Cricetulus griseus: one gene and its partners. The protein of the gene in region 1 purifies or fractionates together with the protein of each later gene. This does not show direct contact. Links are inferred from orthologs where the notes say so. Each region holds a gene or a part of one and is shown in the gene's direction. Other genes may lie near its edges.

Evidence for each region.
Region 2: the proteins of Ago2 (region 1) and Tnrc6c purify together in Homo sapiens (co-immunoprecipitation; 6 studies listed by BioGRID and IntAct, with this or other methods). This does not show direct contact. The link is inferred for Cricetulus griseus from reciprocal best matches to the Homo sapiens genes AGO2 and TNRC6C.
Region 3: the proteins of Ago2 (region 1) and Tarbp2 purify together in Homo sapiens (co-immunoprecipitation; 10 studies listed by BioGRID and IntAct, with this or other methods). This does not show direct contact. The link is inferred for Cricetulus griseus from reciprocal best matches to the Homo sapiens genes AGO2 and TARBP2.
Region 4: the proteins of Ago2 (region 1) and Ddx20 purify together in Homo sapiens (affinity purification with western blotting; 3 studies listed by BioGRID). This does not show direct contact. The link is inferred for Cricetulus griseus from reciprocal best matches to the Homo sapiens genes AGO2 and DDX20.
Region 5: the proteins of Ago2 (region 1) and Gemin4 purify together in Homo sapiens (affinity purification with western blotting; 4 studies listed by BioGRID and IntAct, with this or other methods). This does not show direct contact. The link is inferred for Cricetulus griseus from reciprocal best matches to the Homo sapiens genes AGO2 and GEMIN4.

What each region holds. Positions count from the first base shown.
Region 1 is NC_048595.1:370,801,987-370,805,499, reverse strand, and holds part of Ago2 (protein argonaute-2), read left to right. Parts: intron 1-197; coding exon 198-334; intron 335-1,839; coding exon 1,840-1,974; intron 1,975-2,471; coding exon 2,472-2,559; intron 2,560-3,513.
Region 2 is NC_048600.1:130,270,303-130,273,815, forward strand, and holds part of Tnrc6c (trinucleotide repeat-containing gene 6C protein), read left to right. Parts: intron 1-49; coding exon 50-2,635; intron 2,636-3,513. UniProt on the Homo sapiens protein: Plays a role in RNA-mediated gene silencing by micro-RNAs (miRNAs). Required for miRNA-dependent translational repression of complementary mRNAs by argonaute family proteins.
Region 3 is NC_048595.1:398,895,143-398,899,094, forward strand, and holds the start of Tarbp2 (RISC-loading complex subunit TARBP2), read left to right. Parts: upstream 1-1,144; 5' UTR 1,145-1,285; coding exon 1,286-1,338; intron 1,339-1,448; exon of another isoform or gene 1,449-1,579; intron 1,580-1,866; coding exon 1,867-2,036; intron 2,037-3,144; coding exon 3,145-3,247; intron 3,248-3,773; coding exon 3,774-3,866; intron 3,867-3,952. UniProt on the Homo sapiens protein: Required for formation of the RNA induced silencing complex (RISC). Component of the RISC loading complex (RLC), also known as the micro-RNA (miRNA) loading complex (miRLC), which is composed of DICER1, AGO2 and TARBP2.
Region 4 is NW_023276806.1:51,319,545-51,323,620, forward strand, and holds the start of Ddx20 (probable ATP-dependent RNA helicase DDX20), read left to right. Parts: upstream 1-1,275; 5' UTR 1,276-1,303; coding exon 1,304-1,604; intron 1,605-1,960; coding exon 1,961-2,055; intron 2,056-4,076.
Region 5 is NC_048600.1:89,667,679-89,671,806, reverse strand, and holds the start of Gemin4 (gem-associated protein 4), read left to right. Parts: upstream 1-1,325; 5' UTR 1,326-1,447; coding exon 1,448-1,457; intron 1,458-4,128. Other genes in the region: diazepam-binding inhibitor-like 5, read right to left, coding at 379-642. UniProt on the Homo sapiens protein: The SMN complex catalyzes the assembly of small nuclear ribonucleoproteins (snRNPs), the building blocks of the spliceosome, and thereby plays an important role in the splicing of cellular pre-mRNAs.

The sequences.
Region 1 (3,513 bases):
ACCTCCATCAGCTACTGCTTACGCTGTGTGGATGCAGCCTACAACTCCATATGATGAGCATGACTTCACAGGAAAAAACCTAGAATGGTCTCTGAGTGTCAGTGTGCCTGCTGGGATGACAGGAGGAGAGCATGGAGTCAGCCTGGCCCTTCCTGACTGACTCCCTTCTGACTAGGAGAGGGCTGTCTCCCTGGCAGGTACACCCCCGTTGGCCGTTCCTTCTTCACTGCGTCTGAAGGCTGTTCCAACCCCCTGGGCGGGGGCCGGGAAGTGTGGTTTGGCTTCCATCAGTCCGTCCGACCTTCTCTTTGGAAAATGATGCTGAATATTGATGGTAAGAAAAGCCTATGGGCTTCACTGCAGGGTGAATGGGGCCCGTGCAACCTGCATTACACAGGACGGAGATTTGAAAGCTTTCAGAGGTGGCCAGACCTTAGGAAGGATTCTCATAGCTATCTCTAGCCTTTGGTGAAGCCAGAGACGTGGAATGTTACCAGCCTGTGTCAACCGTGTGTTTGGTATCTGAGGTGGTTCGTGTTTGGGTATCGGAGCCTTTGGAGTATTCCATTCCCAGGGGCCCTTTAGCCAGCCTGGGGAGCTGACTCTGCCAGGCCCTGTGCACTGCTGGAACACCACAAGTATTGGGGTTGGGGCCACATCCCTCACTTTCTCTCCATGTTTCCTGAGTACTCAAGTTGTTTACACTGAGAGAAGAGCACCATTAGGTGCCAATGGGTGGCCGTTGTCTGTTGATCCTCCAGCTTGACTGTCACTGCTGTGACAAGTACCTAGAAGAAACCATTTAAAGTGGTTAAAGATTCACTGGGGGTTTCAGAGGACTCAGTCCACAATAAGCTGATGCTATCATTCTGAAGCTGAGCACCATTGCAGAGAGGCTGTGATGCAGCATGGCTGCTTATCTCATGGTGCCTGGGAAGGAGGCATATGGAAATGAGCCAGGGGTAAGAGCTCCCCTGAAGGTACACCCACAGCCATCTACTTCTCCAGTCAGGAGACCTCTGTCTGAGTTTTTGCAGCCTTCCAGAAATGCCATTCAACTGTGACTCCATCAATATATTGCTTGGTTCAGAGCCCTCACGATCCACGTAGCTCTCAGTGATGGGAGGACACTGCTTCAGGAAACTCAGGGGTCATACTTTGTGCTTGAGTCCGCTTCCCTCTGCCAGAGACCAACAATCAGGAGGATCGATGCCTCCTCTCACATAGAAGATAAGTTTTGGCAGCAGCTCCAGGAAGGCCCTAGGTCATATCTTGCTCAGGCTCATACTGACTGCAAAAGAATTGCATGAATGGAAAAACCTCAGAAATGCCTCTGGCAGAAGTAGGTGGCCAGAAAAGCCTACAGGGTCCAAGGTCCTGGCTGTTCTGTGTCAAGCTAGATTTGTTTATAAGACCACAGTAGTTCGCCGGTTGTTGGTGGAACACGCCTTTAATCCCAGCACTCAGGAGGCAGAGGCAGAGGCAGACGGATCTCTGTGAGTTCGAGGCCAGCCTGGTCTCTAGAGCAAGTACCAGGATAGGCTCCAAAGCTACACAGAGAAACCCTGTCTCGAAAAACCAAAAAAAAGACCGCAGTAGTTCTTTGGGTGACTTCTTCAGTCTCAGCCAATCCCTTACCATTGCCTATGGCTAGAGAAAAGCATGGAATCTCCTTGGTTAGTGTGGAGCTCTGGGCACAGTGGACATTGGTTTTCTCATTACATAAGAGGAGCGGGGGAGCATACAGGAGAAACTGAGGCCAGGCCTCCTGAGCTGCCTGCTACTAGTCACATGGATTACTCTAGATGTTCTTGTCTGTCTCTTGCTTTTCCTGCACAGTGTCAGCAACTGCATTTTACAAGGCACAGCCGGTGATCGAGTTTGTTTGTGAAGTTTTGGATTTTAAAAGTATTGAAGAACAACAAAAACCTCTGACAGATTCCCAAAGGGTAAAGTTTACCAAAGAAATAAAAGGTAAAGAACCACCCAGAGCAACAGGCTAGGGGGTGAGGGCCCCCTCTGGGGTCCCCACCCATGCATGGATGGGTTCTTGTTCCACTCTGATGAGGGAGATGGGAGCTATGGGAAGAGTGAGCCACAAGGCACACTGACTCTGAGATAGCTGGGACTCACACAGGGGGGCCCATGGCGCTAACGAGCACAACTACATGGGTGGGAGCAGCTGGGATGCCTGTCCTGTCTGAGCCACAAAGGTTAGGACTAGAATCACTGTGAGAGAGTGGTAGTGGTGACACCCAAATCTTACTGAGCTGAATTGTGCTGGCATCTCAGGACAAGGTGGGTGCAGCCATGGCATCCTGAGGATAGCACTCATTTCTTACTTCTCGGCTCTAGAAGCCTATGGCTTCAAATGTGGCCAGAGCTGCCATGTCTGCAAATTGATTCTAGACTGGAGTTTGGACTATAGGTGCATGGCAAGGGTAACTCTGATGCCTGCTGTCTGTCACCAGGTCTAAAGGTGGAGATAACGCACTGTGGTCAGATGAAGAGGAAGTACCGTGTCTGCAATGTGACCCGCCGGCCTGCCAGTCACCAAACGTAAGGCAGTTGAACAGTCATCCCTCCTTACAAACTCAGGCTGGTCCTGTCACTCATATTCCCAGACACTGGAAGTCATGAGACTGTCCTGCAAGGATTTATTTGTGCTCCTAAAATCTAGTAGCTACCTCTGTGGCTCGTTCACTTTCCACTCTACAAAGTGAACCCTAGGGGCTGGATAAATCACTCAATAGTTCAGAGCATATATTGCTCTTCTGGAGGTCCCAAGTTTGGTTCCCAGCACCCATGTTGGGCAGCTTACAACCACCTGTAGCTCCAGCTGCAGTGCCCTCTTAATGTATTGTATCCACATATATACATGTGCGAGCTCACACACACACACATACACACACACACACACACACACACACACACACACACACACACACACACAATTTAAAATATAATAAGTTGGGATTTTTTGGTTTTGCTTTTAAATTTATATCTTTATTGTATGACTGTTTTCCCTGCATGTATGTCTGTTCACCTGGTCCCCATGGAGGCCAGAAGAGAGGCATCAGATCCCTGGAACAGGAGTTACAGGTGGCTGGAATCAAACCTGGATCCTCTGCAAGAGCAGCCAGTACTCTTAACCTATGAGCCATCTCTCCAGCCCCCATTTTGTTTGGTTTTGTTTTAAGATAGGGATTCAATGTTTAAATCAGGCTGGCCTGAAACTACTCACGAAGATGCCTCTGCCTGGAGAGATGGCTTGGAGGTTAAGAACACTGACCGTTCTTCCAGAGGACCTGAGTTCACTTCCCAGCAACCACGTGGCGGCTCACAACCATCTATAACGGTGGTCCCTTGGGATGTGCAGATATATACATAAAATAAGTCTTTTAAAAAACAAGCATGAATTCCAACATAGAAATCCCACATGTGCAAGGGAGTGGAGGATGTGACTTTAGGTCTGGGCGAAGCAAGGACACCTGTGGGCTGCTGACCAGCCCT
Region 2 (3,513 bases), on another chromosome or scaffold:
GCAAGTGGGAAGAGAATATAATTTTGAGTTTCCTTTCATCTTTTTTCAGATCCTGGTCACAGTGGATTGGCAGATCATTATGAAAATTCCCACTGGGGACAGCAGCCCTCTTACAGAAGTGAAGCCAACTGCGGCTGGGATAAAGTGACGCTAGACAGGACTGACCAGGAGGTGTGGCCGTCCATCCCCGTCACAGAGACTGAATCTGCCTCAGAATGTCCTGCGGACACTGACTCTGCCTCCACCTGTGGCTCAGAGAACAGTAGTATGGCTACAGGGAGCACCCAGGGCAGCTTCACAGGACATCCCAAGAAGACAAATGGCAATAATGGCACCAATGGTGCACTCGTCCAAAGCCCTTCTAATCAGAGTGCCCTTGGGGCAGGTGGAACCAACGGGAATGGAGGTGTGGCCAGAGTGTGGGGTGTAGCCACAGGCTCCAGCTCTGGCCTGACTCACTGCTCTGTTGGTGGTGGAGATGGAAAAATGGACAACATGATTGGAGATGGGAGAAGTCAAAATTGTTGGGGTGCTTCCAACTCCAATGCGGGCATTAATCTCAACCTTAACCCTAATGCCAACCCAGCTGCCTGGCCTGTACTCGGGCATGAAGGAACTGTGGCAACAGGCAACCCTTCCAGTATTTGCAGTCCAGTCAGTGCCATAGGTCAGAATATGGGCAGCCAGAATGGGAACCCAGTGGGCACAGTAGGTGCCTGGGGAAACTTGCTGCCCCAAGAGAGCACAGAACCACAGACGTCCACTTGTCAGAATGTGTCTTTCAGCGTACAACCTCAGAACCTTAACACTGATGGATCAAATAACACTAACCCCATGAACTCTTCACCAAACCCTATCAATGCAATGCAGACGAACGGACTGCCAAACTGGGGCATGGCTGTTGGCATGGGGGCCATCATCCCGCCCCACCTGCAAGGCCTTCCTGGTGCTAACGGATCATCAGTCTCTCAAGGCAGTGGAAGTGGTGGGGAAGGAATGGGCAGTTCTGTGTGGGGACTGTCCCCTGGTAATCCTGCCACAGGAAATAACAATTCTGGGTTCAGTCAGGGGAATGGAGACACTGTGAACTCAGCACTAAGTGCTAAACAGAATGGATCCAGCAGTGCTGTGCAAAAGGAAGGGAACGGAGGGAATGCCTGGGACTCGGGGCCACCTGCGGGTCCTGGCATCCTTGCCTGGGGAAGGGGCAGTGGCAACAATGGCATTGGTAATATCCATTCAGGAGCTTGGGGCCACCCCAGCCGCAGCTCTTCTAATGGTATGAATGGGGAGTGGGGGAAGCTCCCAAACCAGCATTCCAGTAGTGACATCAGTGGGAAAGGATCAACAGGGTGGGACAGTCCCAGTGCTGCCAGCCAGCCACCTGCCTTGCAGCCTGGCAGTGAACACGTGAGCTCGTGGGCCAAAGCCACATCTTCTGGAACTACGCCAAGCGAAGGGAGCAGTGATGGCTCTGGCCATCACAGTGAAGGGGGCGCTGGGCGGGAAGCAATGGGTGAGGGCAGGAGGCGAGACCAAGGGCACATCCAGTTGCCCAGGGGCGATCTTGACCCACGAGTTCTGTCTAATACTGGTTGGGGACAGACTCCTGTAAAGCAAAACACTGCCTGGGAATTTGAAGAGTCCCCTAGGTCTGAAAGGAAAAATGACAATGGGACAGAGGCCTGGGGTAGTGCAGCTACTCAGCCTTCAAACTCAGGGGGGAAGAGTGATGGGTCCCTCATGAACAGTACAAATACCTCTTCAGTATCGGGGTGGGTCAGCTCACCACCTGCCGCCGTGCCAGCAAACACAAGCTGGGGAGACAGCAACAACAAAGCGCCAAGTGGCCCAGGAGTTTGGGGGGACTCGATAAGCTCTACTGCTGTTAACAATGCTGCTGCCACCAAGAGTGGCCATGCTTGGAGTGGGACCGTAAACCAGGAGGACAAGTCACCCACCTGGGGTGAGCCTCAGAAACCCAAATCTCAAAACTGGGGAGATGGACAAAGAGCAAACCCAGCCTGGAGCGCAGGAGCAGGAGACTGGGCAGATTCATCCTCGGTCCTTGGACATCTAGGGGATGGGAAGAAAAATGGACCTGGATGGGACGCTGACGGTAATAGGTCAGGGTCTGGCTGGAACGATGCCTCGAGATGTGGAACCAGTGGCTGGGCCAGTGGCGCAAGTGCTAAGGTGAACCCAGGTACAAACTGGGGGGAGTCTCTCAAGCCTGGTCCCCAGCAGAGCTGGGCTCACAAGCCCCAAGACAGCAATGTGAGTAACTGGGGAGGAGCTGCTTCTGTTAAGCAGACAGGGACAGGGTGGATTGGGGGGCCACTGCCAGTCAAGCAGAAGGACAGCTGTGAGGCAACTGGCTGGGAGGAGCCTTCTCCACCGTCCATCCGACGCAAAATGGAAATCGATGATGGTACCTCAGCTTGGGGGGACCCAAGCACCTACAACAATAAAACTGTAAACATGTGGGACAGAAATAATCCAGTCATCCAGAGCAGTACCACAACCCCTGCCACCCCCACGACCCCCACCTCGAGCAGCACCACACACCAGGCCGAGACGCCGCCTTCACACCAGGCTGGCACTCAGCTGAATCGGTCGCCACTGCTCGGGCCAGGTATGCTGGGGGCCCTCTGGTCACACCAGTGGTGTGTGCTCTGTGTCTATGTGTGAATCCTTGGACTGATGCTCGTAGCAAGTGACTACGTAGAGTAGGTGTTTCCAAGGGAACAACAAGGCACCATCCTCTGGTAACTTTCCAAGGAAAAGCAGCACTGGGTATCCTCAATACAGCCAGGGTTTCCAGCCGGTTTGGTCCTTTTCATCATCCTTCCAACAACCACAGGCTAATTTGTTTTGAACTTGTGCTGTGCTCTGCTTGTCTGGGTTCTTTGTCAGTAATGGAACCGTTGGGCAGTTGACATCTTTTTTTTTTTTTTTTTTAATAGGAGCAACTTTGAAATCTTCCTGCTGTGCAGCTGTATTCTGACTGCCTAAATCACTTGTTGGTGGTTTTGTGCATTTCCTTGGCCTTTGTCCTGTTGATGAAACTTTACTTGGTCTTAGTTAATACCACAATCAAGTTACAAGCTCATTCTTAGGCCCTGTACTGTGCAAACAGTCTGGGTCTGCCCCATACCGTAATCCAGCCTTTGCATGACAGGGCCAGCACCAATGAGATTCGGGAGGAAAGAAGCCCAGGACCCCTTGCCTTAGTGTATCTTCTGCAAGATATCTTTATTACTAGATAAAACAAGTGGTTCTCAGCCCCGGCTTTCCTTAAATTGCCTTGGCACTTCCTGAGGTGGTCTGTCAGTCCCAGAGAACCTGATTTAATGGTTCTGTCTTCACTGATAGTTTTAAAGTTCCTCCTGGAGATGAAACTATGTTTGTAAAACTTCATTATACAACTCTATTTTTATTTTAGTTGAAAGGCAGATTTCAAAATCACACTAAGACTTGTGTTTGGAGTTTCTGCTCTGTGCAAGTGGAAAA
Region 3 (3,952 bases), about 28 Mb from region 1:
TGGTCCCTTCTCATACCAAAGTCGCCAGCTGGTCTGCCTGCCCTTGTCACTGCTTCTGTTTCACCCAGTCGTGCGGCCTTTCCCACTTCAGAGCTCCTGGATGACCCCTGATTATCACCCCAAGATTCCTCCACCTCCAGCCCCCATCCCCTCTTAGCAAGACATCTCTTCCTAGACCCGTTCTGAAAACACTCTTTGAATCACGTTTTTCGTGGTATCTGTCTCTTTCTTCCTCTATCCAAGGTCACAAGATTTCCCCCACATTCTGCACTCTGGTGGTATCAAGACTTTGGGGATCCAAAAGTACTTGTTTAGCTCTGCGCGTAATTTAGTTCGTTAATTACTCTCGTGTTCTTTCAGTTGAGGCTACAAAACACCGCAGAAGGTACATCTAATGATTCTCGGGCCCTAGATTCCCGGAGAGTTAAAGAAAGGTTCAGTAGGGCCTATTTAAGGAGTAGCAAACCCTTACAGGCTGCGTGCAGTTAATGAAGAGAGGCGAAGGACAAGACACACACACACACACCACACACACACAAAAGCAGCAGGATTTTTGACACGAGGCCCGAGGGGCCTGGCACTCACACTGGTGCCTGGGGAGACAGTGTCTGAAAAAAAACTTACAACAACCCCAGAGCTCTGGGGCGGGGGCGGCCAGGTAAGGCCCACCCTCTGGGGCAGCAAAAGAAACACGCCGGCAGCCTCCTCCGCCAATCACAACCCTTCCTCAGGAAGCCTATCCCTTTCCCCGTCCCCGCCCTCTGGGCCAGATGACCAATCGAAAAGCGCCTTGGGAAGTCGCTCTCGGCATTGCCGATTAAGCCGCGAAGCCTGCGGCGGCGACCGGACGGCGCGCGGGCACCTGGGCTCTGTAGTTCTCTGAGGGTGGCATGCCTTACCGCCCCGCCCCCAGCCGCCTCCACCCCGTTAGTACGCATGCTCACAGTCTCGGCCTGGGAGGAGGCAGTGCGCAAGGAAGAAGGCGGGACGACATTAGAAAACTAAAACCACTGGTAGGTTGAGAAGCTTCCGTGGAGGATCCGCTCCTCCCAGAGGGCGGCGCAGGCGCCCGGGCGAGCCACGCGGAGAGTTGTGGGGCGGGTAGCTCGACTCCTGATGAAGACACAAGGAGTCGGATGGGAGGGGGACTCCAGATCCCAGCATGCCCCGCGGCGGGCCCTACCGGCCGCGACTCCGGGCTTGGCCCCGGCCCTAGCTCGTCGGCGGTGTACTGGGGCGCGTGGAGGCTGTAGTCACGGTGGCGCCCGCGGGGACGGAGGAGGGAATGAGTGAAGAGGAGCAGGGCTCCGGCACTACCACAGGCTGCGGGCTGCCCAGGTGAGCTGCCTAATTTCCATTCCTGCAGGACGAAAAGTGTGAGGCGGTGCGGAGGGTAGCGGCGCAGCCCCAGCATGCACCTGGCCTGAGGGTTGTTCCCAGCAAGCACTGGGGTAGTGGGCAGAGGTTCCCGGCATGCACTGGGTCAGTGGCCACCGCCTCCAGCTCTAGTTTGGGGTTGGCTTGATTCCCAGACTGCACTGGAGCCTTACGCTTTATGCCCTGATGTTCAGTGCGTTTGGTGGGTACTGGGTTCCCGAATTCCATTGTGCCAGGGGGAAATGCACGTCCAACCAGCACTACGGCACAGGCTCCCTCGCCTTAACTGAGAACAGTACAGTTTCCACTTGCCTTGGGGTAGAGGACCTTGCTTTCCCTCCTGCAACTTAACTGTTAGCCCAGTCAATGGATGCTATACTGCCTGGGGATCCATGGACCCAGTAATGTGCTAGGTCTAATGTGACAGTGCTTGGTCAGGTGGGTGCCGAAAGGGGAAGTGTGATATTGGTGTGTGCCCCTCCCTCCCAGCATAGAGCAAATGCTGGCCGCCAACCCGGGCAAGACCCCGATCAGCCTTCTTCAGGAGTATGGGACCAGAATAGGAAAGACGCCCGTGTACGACCTTCTCAAAGCCGAGGGCCAAGCCCATCAGCCTAATTTCACCTTCCGGGTCACCGTTGGCGACACCAGCTGCACTGGTGAGGAAGGCTTGGGCAGCCTGGCTGGGGTGTGCATTCACAGGGCCCGTGGCTTAATATCGTGGGATCGCTTCACCACAGTCCTCTCCTTTAAGGCCAGGGAGGGATGGAGAGGTTTCAGGGGAAAAACCACTGCCTGAAGGTGGATAGGACCCGAGAGACTCACTGGTGAGAACAGGAAATGTCACAGGAATTTGCTGCTCTTACCACCTTAGATGAAAAGTAGATGAGACACTGAACTACCCATGGGTATTTGGGGGAGCAAACACACACTTTGCTGGCCTCTTGACCCATATTGACCATAGAGGGCTTAGTATCAGAAATTAAATGACTGGCCCTAATAAGTGGCAGAGTAGAGCTTTGACTTTAGAACTGATCCTTTGTTGTCTCTATTGCTTATTTGTTGAGGGAAAAGAAAGTGCTTTTGCAGAGAAAAGGAAGACACCTCCCCTCTCCCCAGTGTTGGAGCTCAAATCCTGCCTTACATGACTTAATTATGGGAGATAATTGAAAGCTAAGGGCTGCTCTAGGCCCATTTATATTGTGATAAAACACCTTAACTAAAGCAGCATAGGGGAGGAAAGGCTTGATTGGTTTACAGTCATCATTGTGGGGAAGGTATCCACAAAGCAGAGAGCAAAGAGAATAAACTCATCCTTGCTGCCTGCTTGCTGTTCCACACAGCATTACAGCTGACCAAGGCACTTACTTCACAGCCACAGAAGCACAGCGGAACAATGGCAGATGCCCAGTGCTTCCACATTCAGGGCCACCTGCCTTGCAAGGGATGGTACCACAATAGTTGAGCATTTCTACCTCAATTAACAATCAAGACAGTCTCCCACAGACATGTTCGAAGGCCAGTCTGAGCTAGGCAATTCCTCAATAAAGGCTCTCCTTTCATATGATCCGAGGTTGTGCCAAGTTGACAGTTAAAACTAACTAGGACAAAGACTATTTGAGCAGTCAGCAGAGCCCTTCTAGTCTGGCAGGGGAGGTTGGTAAGCGAGCTGTTCAATCCCTTGGCTGTAAGGAGAGAGGCTGTGGGGGCTGGTTTCTCTGCTGTCCTGCTGGTGACCTCCAGTATTGCCCACACCCCTTTTCTTAGGTCAGGGCCCCAGCAAGAAGGCAGCCAAGCACAAGGCAGCTGAGGTGGCCCTCAAACACCTCAAAGGGGGGAGCATGCTGGAACCAGCCCTGGAGGACAGCAGGTGAGGGAGGAACAGTCAAGGGACACTAGAAGCCCTGCTGAGAACCAGGCCTCCTCACCACCTACTTCTCTTCCTAATCCAGGCCTGGTGACTCATGGCCACCCTGACCTGGCCCCTTCCTGAGAATTTCCTCTAGGGTGCTTCTAGGGTAATAGCCCCTTTGATGGGTGGTGGCTACTCTGGGCCCGGGGTAAGCCATAGAGGGTGGAGACTAAGGCTGATAAGGCTGATGGTCCCAAAACGCCCCCTTTCTAGCCACATGACTTTCCCTCTTCTACATTCAGGTTGGAGCTTGTTGGGTAGGAAGAAATTCTGTTTTCTGAGCCCTACCCCTACCCCACCCTCAGTGCTTTTGAGCCAGTGTGGGTCAGCAGAGGATCCCAGGAGGAAGAGCTGTTGCTGAGGCTCTCTTGAGTCTAGATCAGGGGGAAGGGATTCTCTCAGGGGATGGAAAGGTCAGAAAGACCTCATACTCTCATTCCCTTCTACATGGGTGTGAATCCAAGGCTCCCTTCCCCTTGGGAAGTTCTTTTTCTCTCCTAGAGTCTTCACTGCCCGAGGACACTCCTGTCATTGCTGCTGAAGTTGCTGCCCCTGTTCCATCTGCTATACTAACCAGGTACCTTGAGTTCCCTGACATCTCGGAGGGAGGCAGGCCCCTAGCCTCATAGCACTTGGACCCAGGCAGGTTAGGATGAGGAAGTC
Region 4 (4,076 bases), on another chromosome or scaffold:
TCTAGTGAAATTTCCTTGCCAAAGATATTTCTACACAATTGGGATATGGGAAACAAGACCAGAATTATACGTAGGGACAAATGAGGTTTGTCATAGGTCTTGTCAACTTGAGAGTAATACTCAGCTAGGAGAAAGACTCTGCAGGTGTGTGTGAGAGGAAAATAGCGTTCAATGTGTCAGATTTTTGTTTTTCCTCCTAGTGGCAGAAGAGAACAAGTCAGAATAGTTTCCTGCCTTCGGGGGAAGTGAGGGAGACAATAAACATTCATGAAGAGTGACCAGGGGTGATAAGGCACACACCTGTCATCTCAGTATTTGGGAAGTCGAGGCAGGAGGCCAGTCTGAGCTGCATAGGGAGACTTTGTCGAAAAAGAAAGAAAGAAAGAAAGAAAGAAAGAAAGAAAGAAAGGAAAAGAAAGAAAGAGAAAGAAAGAAAGAAAGAAAGAAAAAGAAAGAAAGAAAAAGAAAAAGCCAACCAAGCTAATCAAACCAAAAATCAAACAAGTGGTGAGAATAACGGGAAAGGCCAGGGAGCAGGCAGGACGGGGGTGACTAAAGATTTCAAGAAAGACCTCTTACAACAAGGTGACATGTGAGCGGGTCCAGAGGAAGGGGAAGTGGTGTGCTAGTTGCCCACCCGAGATCGGAAGGAAGGGCAGACAAAATGAGTTGAACCGGAGAGCTCTATTAGCCTGGAGATTCGAGAGAGCGCCCACGCAGAGCCTGGGAGTTGGCGGTCCAGTCAGTCTCCCGCACTGTGCTAAGGGGCTGGGGCGCCGACGTGACAGGGCTCTCCGAGGGCAGGGAACCCCGTTTTGCTGTGTTCCGGGGCGCTGTCTGCGAGCACTGAGGAGCAGCGGGGAAAAGTGCGGAGGACGAAGACTTCGGCGCGGCCTCAGTCAAGCTAGACCGGGGCAGCGGAGCCCAGCGGCGGCCGAGCCTGACGCTCTGGCTGCGTCACAAAGCGCGCCGCGAGCGCCGGGTTCCGGAGCAGCGCCGCGCGGCCCGTCCGTCAGAGCCGCGGGAGGCGGGCGGCGCCCACCGCGGGCACGCGACGCCCTCTGCAGGCCGCCGGCGGCAGCACTGGTAGCCTCATCTTCCTCGCTCCTCCCGCCTCTTCCTCAGGCTACATTTTTGTCCGTCCCCAGAGCGCCAGCCTCCGACTTCCGTTCGTTTCCTCCACTTCCAGGCCGGGTGCGTCCGTGTCTTCACCGAGAGACTGACAATAAAGTTTTTTCCTCTTCTCGCTCCCAGGAGCCCCGCCTCGACTCCAAATATCGCGAGATCTCGAGGCGCGGCTACCATGGCGGCGGCATTTGAAGCCCCGGCGGCCTTGACAACCGCGGAGTCCGCTATGGCGGCGGAGCGCGCGGCCGTGCGGTCCCCGGCCGCGGAGCCGACTCCCAGCTCCCCGTGGAGCCTGCGGACCGCTCACGACATCGGCGGGCCGCGGACGCGTACCGGGGACGTGGTGCTGGCGGAGCCCGCGGATTTCGAGTCGCTGCTGCTGTCGCGGCCGGTGCTGGAGGGGCTGCGGGCGGCCGGCTTTGAGAGGCCGTCTCCCGTGCAGCTGAAGGCCATCCCGCTGGGGCGCTGCGGGCTCGGTGAGGACCGGGGCCGGCCGCGGGCGGGGGCCTGGCCCCGGAGAGCTCCGGCTCCGCGCCTTTGCGGGGCTCGGCAGTGCTCGAGGCGCGCAATTGGATCGGAAGGCGCCGGGTCCAAGCTGGAGACGAGCAGCGGTAGAGATTCGGGGACTAAGGGGCTGGAGAAATGTCTCCGTGGTTGATGCACGCCTCGCGCGCGCTTCAGGGTCAACTAAAAATATAGGTGACAGTTAGGTGGTCTTAGGAGAGAATCCGGCCGTTCCCTGGTCCTATATTGGTATCTAGTTGCTTCAGCGAGTCTTGCTAATGATACCTATTCTTTTTTTCTTTTCTTTTTTTCTTTCTTTCTTTCTCAGATTTAATTGTTCAAGCTAAGTCTGGCACTGGGAAAACTTGTGTATTCTCCACCATTGCTCTAGACTCCCTTCTTCTTGAAAACTACAGTACTCAGGTGAGTAACTCAGAGGATCCAGACGGGGGGTGTGTAGCACGTGGCCTCTAGCTAGACTTATGAAAAACTACTGACTCCTCACAGATGGTGTGTTTGATGAATCGGAGAATGTGAAACCGTAGGAAAATTACAGAAGTAAACTACATAGATGGTAAGGTCGTTGAGTTGTGGCCGAGAATATCATTATTAAGTTTTTTTTTTAAATTTGGAGTCTTCTATAATTACATTTTGAATATGTGTTACTTAAAATCATTATGCAATTAAGAAACTTTTTCTTGGGCTGGAGAGATGGCTCAGTGATGAAGAGCAGTGACTGCTCCTTCCAGAGGTCCTGAGTTCAATTCCCAGCAACCACATGGTGGCACACAACAGTCTGTAATGAGATCTCCTGTCCTCTTCTGGCCTGCAGGCAGAACGCTGTATACATAATAAATAAATAAATCTTAAAAAAATTTTTTTAAAAAAACTTTTACTTACTAGATTGGGGTTAGAAATAAACTTAAAAGTTTTGGTTTATATAATACGCTATGGCAGAACTTAATATGGTTGTGGTTTTTTTGGTTGTATCCCCCCTCACCCCCAAAGGGTTTCTCTGTGTAACCTTGGTTGTCCTGGAACTTGCTTTGTATATTAGGCTGGGCTCGAATTCACAGAGATCCTCTTAATTTTAGGTTGCCTTGGAATAGTTTGAAGATTGTCCTACTCAAACTAGTAGGAAATATGGGTTTGGGAGATAATTCTTCAAAAAGATTTGTTCAGTTAGTAATACATGCAAATACTACACTAGGCACTGGGGATTAAGCAATGAGTTGGATGTGGTCCTCCCACCATCTTCTGGAGTGTAGTAGTATAGTAACTTTATTTCAGGTTAAGAAGTGTCTGTTGTGATGATGAATCTTGAACAGTGTTGGTTTTTTTTTTTTTTTTTTTTTTTTTTTTTTTTTTTTAACCCGGGATCCTTGTATTTGTTGTCTAGGAATCTTTTTGAGCTCTGTATCCACCACATTCTGGCAGATACTGAATATAACTTAAGGACAGTGGCTAGTCTATTTGTAAATTAAGATGTGTTTGAGAGAGTTTGGCTTGTGACACTTGGCAGCATACCAAATCCTAAACCTAAGTAAAATTCCCTTTTTTTTGTTAAAGTATTTATATTATTAAAGTGTGTGTGTGTGTGTGTGTGTGTGTGTGTGTGTGTGTGTTTATCAAAGTAACACTACATAATTGTTTTAAGTTGGGAAATTTCAGGGAAAAGAACAAAGTACCAAAGAACTCTAAATATGTGATGTGTACCCAGAGTTAAGAGATTTTTAAAAAAATATATTTTTATTATTTCCTTGTCTTTTTTTTAAGCAATATTTTCTTATAGTGACAATATGTATGTTCTGCAGTTTTTACTATGTGTGGCTCTCATGGCCTTTGGAACCTAACTCTGGGAGTTAACTCTGAGATAGAGTCCTCTTAAAATCTTAGTACCTGGGCCTTTTTGCTGCTCCTTATGTGTACCTTAAGGCCTTTGGATTTGCTTTTTCTTTTTCTGAAGCACTGCTTCTGGTGTGTTCCACAACTAGCTCTATGCTGTATGTCTCAAATGTTACTTTCTTATGGGACTTTTAAAATTCTTTGTTTGTTTGTTGGAAGCAGGCACACTCTACCTAATTCTAGCTGGACAGAAGCTTACAACATAGACTAGTCTTCAGTTTGAGGCAATCCTCATATCTCTGCTTCTAGAGTGTCGGAATCATAGGTGCATGCCAAAACGTCACTTCGGAAGGGCTTTCTGATCATTTAAAATGATTTCCCTTGTCAGGTCTTTCTTTTTTCCCTATTTGATTTTTTTTTTTAAATAATACTTTTTATTACATGTATATGTTTTTGTTTATGTTATAACCAAAAAGTGCCAAGAGAGCAATTCTTTCACAACTTGTATGTTTTCTCCCATATAGTACGTTCTTAATAATTAACCGAATAAATGGAATATTTTCTCCTGTTTTAAAACTCCTCTTACAATGAAAAGTAGT
Region 5 (4,128 bases), on another chromosome or scaffold:
GGTTCTTGGTGAGTTGACAGCCCTTGATACAGGTCCAAGCTCTGCCTCACTTCCGACCTTGGTCATTTTCATAGCGTGATTCACCCCTACCCATCCCCTCTTCTGCCAAATATCCATCCACATAGCCAGTCAGACCACACAAAGCATGACTAATGGAGTTTTAGCCAGCAGAGGTGCTTTTACACATTTGAACTGCTTTCCAGGACCCTCACAGAGTTGCTCTTTGACACAGACTCCACTCTTGTGCCGTTCAAGTGATTTATTGATGTCTCCGCTAACCTTGCTACCCTTTTCAGTATGTTTCAGCCATCAGGAGTTCTTAAACCCATTCCCCACCAGTGGAGCCACTGCTATTTCCTTGTGTCTGCCAAAATGTCCTTAGCCAGCCTCGTTTTTCTTTAGCTCCTCCACTTTGGCAATATAGATCCTCATAGCATCCATCTTGGACATCCCTTTGTTCACATTCCACGCTTCCCATTTGGCCTTTGCTCTCACATCTGTGGCTGGAGGGACGGGGATGTTACAGTCGCCCTGGGTGGCCTGTTTGTAGAAGCTGTACACCAGCAGTTTCTCCTGATCGCTCACAGGACCCTTCAGCTGCTTGAGAGAAGCGCAGGCCATTTCAAACTCCACTTGGCTCATTGTTGCACCAGAGGCTGTGTGTGCCTCTCTGTTCTAGTGATACCTGGTACTAGAAGAGAGTTGGGAATAAGCAAAGCAGACGATTATTAGGCCTTGGAAAGAAAGGACAAAGAGATAATGTGTGGGAAGAACACGTGTGTGTGTGTGTGTGTGTGTGTGTGTGTGTGTGTGTGTGTGTATGTGTCTGTGTGTGTGTGTGTGTGTGTGTGTGTGTGTGTTTGAAAAACTACAAGTTGCTGACCAGGAATCCATTCGATTGGCCCTGTCCCACAGTGCTTTGCCCAGTGTGACTGTCCTTCAAACTTACAAAGGCGCCTATGAGAGCTGAAAAGCATTTGGGCATTTCTGTGTGTCTCTGAGGCTGGACGGGGAGCCCCATGGATCCGCTGCTGGTTAGTGGGCAGCCTGGGAAAGGCCATTCCGTTGGAGGTGAATCGTGGGGGTTCCTGGGTGAGAGTGAGAAGTCTGGACTAAGGGATTGGACCTCCTGGCCTCAAGAGAACTGTAATTCCGCAAGGAGCCTGCCTACCTACCTGAGGGTAGACGGCCGGCTGGGAAGCCTAGGGCCGAGAGGGGGCGCTGTGGGCCTGGTCGGCCTCGACGCCGCGAGCTTGTCGAGGAGGACGGAAGACGCGTGCGCACGGAGCAGCAGCCGGGGAGCGGAGTACTGATCGGAAGCCCGTACGAGCTGTGGGCGGTACCTGTGACGCGCCTGTGGCGCCGCCCTTTGTGCCGTGGCGGGGGCACCGCGTTCGCGGCCTCGGAGTGGGAGGGGCGGTCCAGCCCGGCCGCCAGCTTCGCCGCCATGGACCTAGGTGGGTTCGCGTTTCCCTACTCCGGCCTGGTGTCGGGCCGCGTCCGGCAGAGCCCCTCCAGGGTGGGCCGAGGCCCTGTGCTCCTCCAGTGGCGCTCTCCGGAGCCGACTCTGGAGGCCGGGGGTCTGAGGAGTTTTTAGGGACCCGCGGCCGCGAGGCCGGCCTCCAGCCCGCAGCCCGGCCTCGTGTTGGTCTTCCTCGATCCCTCCTCCGCCTCGTGGTCTCTTTCCCATTAGAAAACAGAGAGCGAATGTAGCCCTGGACCCCCTGAAAGTGCACAGGGCTACTGCACGTGTTTCGGAAATGCCGGGCTGGGAGGAACGGACGTCCGGACCGTTCTTCCTTATTGGGTGACTGCCGAGTCGGGGAACAAGTTTCTTAGCAGCTCTCCTGGTCCACAAAGCAGAGATGCTGATACCGCTTTCCTCCCAGGCTTGGCGTTTCTTTGAGACCACGTGCATAACTGGGCGCCTTACGGTGACTTGTGCACAGTGGTGTCCCGCAGCCCTCGCTTTCGAGCAGGGTTTGCAGCAGCAGCAGACAGAGATGGTACTTTTTGAATCCTTTGATTTGGAGTCTCTTAGGCGAGGTCTGGAAGGAGAGCGGCGTTGATAGAAATCTGTGGCCATCTGCCAAGCCTCCCCACCCTGCTAGGTGTGCTCTTTAGAGGGTAAGACAGGGAGGCTGTCCCGGGAGGTACTCCAAGATTTGCAAATAATAAGCTATGGAGAAAGATCTTTGTCCCAGCCAGCTCTTTAGGTAGTTTCATGCCCCGAAGCTGTCAAGAGTTCTGCCATGGCTTGACTCCGCTGACTCAGACACCCTGCACAAATTGTATGTGGGCCTCGAGGTTTCCATCTCTAAAACAGGAGTGGTAATCCTCAAGAAGTTAGTTGGATGATCAAATGGTCTTTTAGGTGTAAAGCTGGGTGTGGAAGCTTATGTCTAACTAGCACTTTGGAGGCAGACACAGGAGGATCTCAAGAGTTCTAGGCCAACCTGCTCTATATAGTTTCAAGCCAGTCCTGGCTACATAACAAGATCCTATGTCACGGGTAAAAAAATGTATGTCACCAAGCCCCGTGCCTACCAGAGTAAGCAGTCACTTCCTAGCACCAGCTACTGATAAAGCCTTGCAGTTTCCCCTAGCTATTAACTGAGTCTGGGACTTTGTCAAGTCACATGTACACAGTGTCTGAAAATCTCATGTTTGTCGGCAGACATCTGCTCGGCTAAGCTGATAAATGCAGTTAAATTGAATTTACTGTTGCGAGGGAATGGTGTTGAGGGCAGGGCAACCTGAGCCAGAAAGAACCCTGCCACAGCAACCTAACTCTGGGCCTTCTGCTACTGTGGAAGCCAAGGTGCATTGCCTTCAGGCCTGGGTTTAGTAGGAGTGTTGATCCTTGACTTGTTTTTGGGTGTGTGAGTAAATGGTTAGTGGCCAAGAGATTCATTAGTTCCCTGGAGTCATCACTTTTTTTCCCCCTGGGGGTAGGGGAGGTTTGAGACAGGGTGTCACAATGTACTTTGGCTGGCCTCATAGAAATCTGCCTCCCTAGAGCTGGGATTAGAAGCATGGGCCACCACAACTGGCCACTGGAGTCAGTATTTTTGCAGCTGACTCTGGCCTATGAGAATGGGGAAAATATGTTCCTTGGAGCATGGGAAACTGGACATGAGGAAGGAAGGGTTAGGCATCTCTGGGCCCTGGGAATGGGTGGGCGCTGTCAGGAACAGTGACCGTGACCAGTTAGTTGTTACACTCTTTTTAAAAAATAACTTATAAAAACAATAATTTTATTTTATGGACATTGATGTGAGGGTTTCAGGTCCTTTGGAACTAGAGTTACAGAAATTGCAAGCTGTCATATGGGTGCTCGGAATCGAACCCAGGTCCTCTGGAAGAGCAGCCAGTGCTCTTGACTGCTGAGCCATCTCTTCAACTCCCAGTTGTTAGAATCTTTAGTTTCTAGGCCAAATTATACACTTTGATAAAGACCTGTGTCCTTTTGTTTTTGCACTGGAGGAGACAAAATAGTGAGAAGACTGGGCCTGCCAACAATTGAACATTTAAATCAGGCTCTTTGTGGTCTGATTATTGTTGCGATAGTAACCTTCCATTCTCCCACCCCTGAAAGATGTTTCGAGAAGGTAACAGTACCAAAATAGTTCCAAAAGTATGACTAGTATATGTTGTATGTCATGTGGTTTTCATGGTTATACCACTGAAGATTATAGTCTGTGTATGCAGACAGACTCAGTAATGTGTAAAGTCACATTTTTGAATGACTGAGCTAGGATTTAAATCCATTATTTGATTAAACTCCCATATTGCCTTTCTTTAAATGTCTTTATCAGTTCTTAGCTCAGTGAATGAATGTTTTCTTGGTTCCTGCCACAGAGCCAGAATGTTCAGTAGTGTCCTTTTTGACTAGAAGAAACTGCTGGGTGAACTTTTTCCCTGTAAGGCCCAGAATGTTGAAACCCATTAGCAGCAGTGTGTTTAGGAAGAAGGAAGGCAGGGCTGGGAATACAGCTCAGTGGTAGAGTGCTTGCCTGGTATATGCAAGGCTTTGGGCTCAAAAACAAAAGCTCAGCTGGGTGTGGTGCATGCCTTTAATCCTAGCACTCAGGAAGCAGAGGCTGGCAGTTCTCTGTGAGTTCAAAG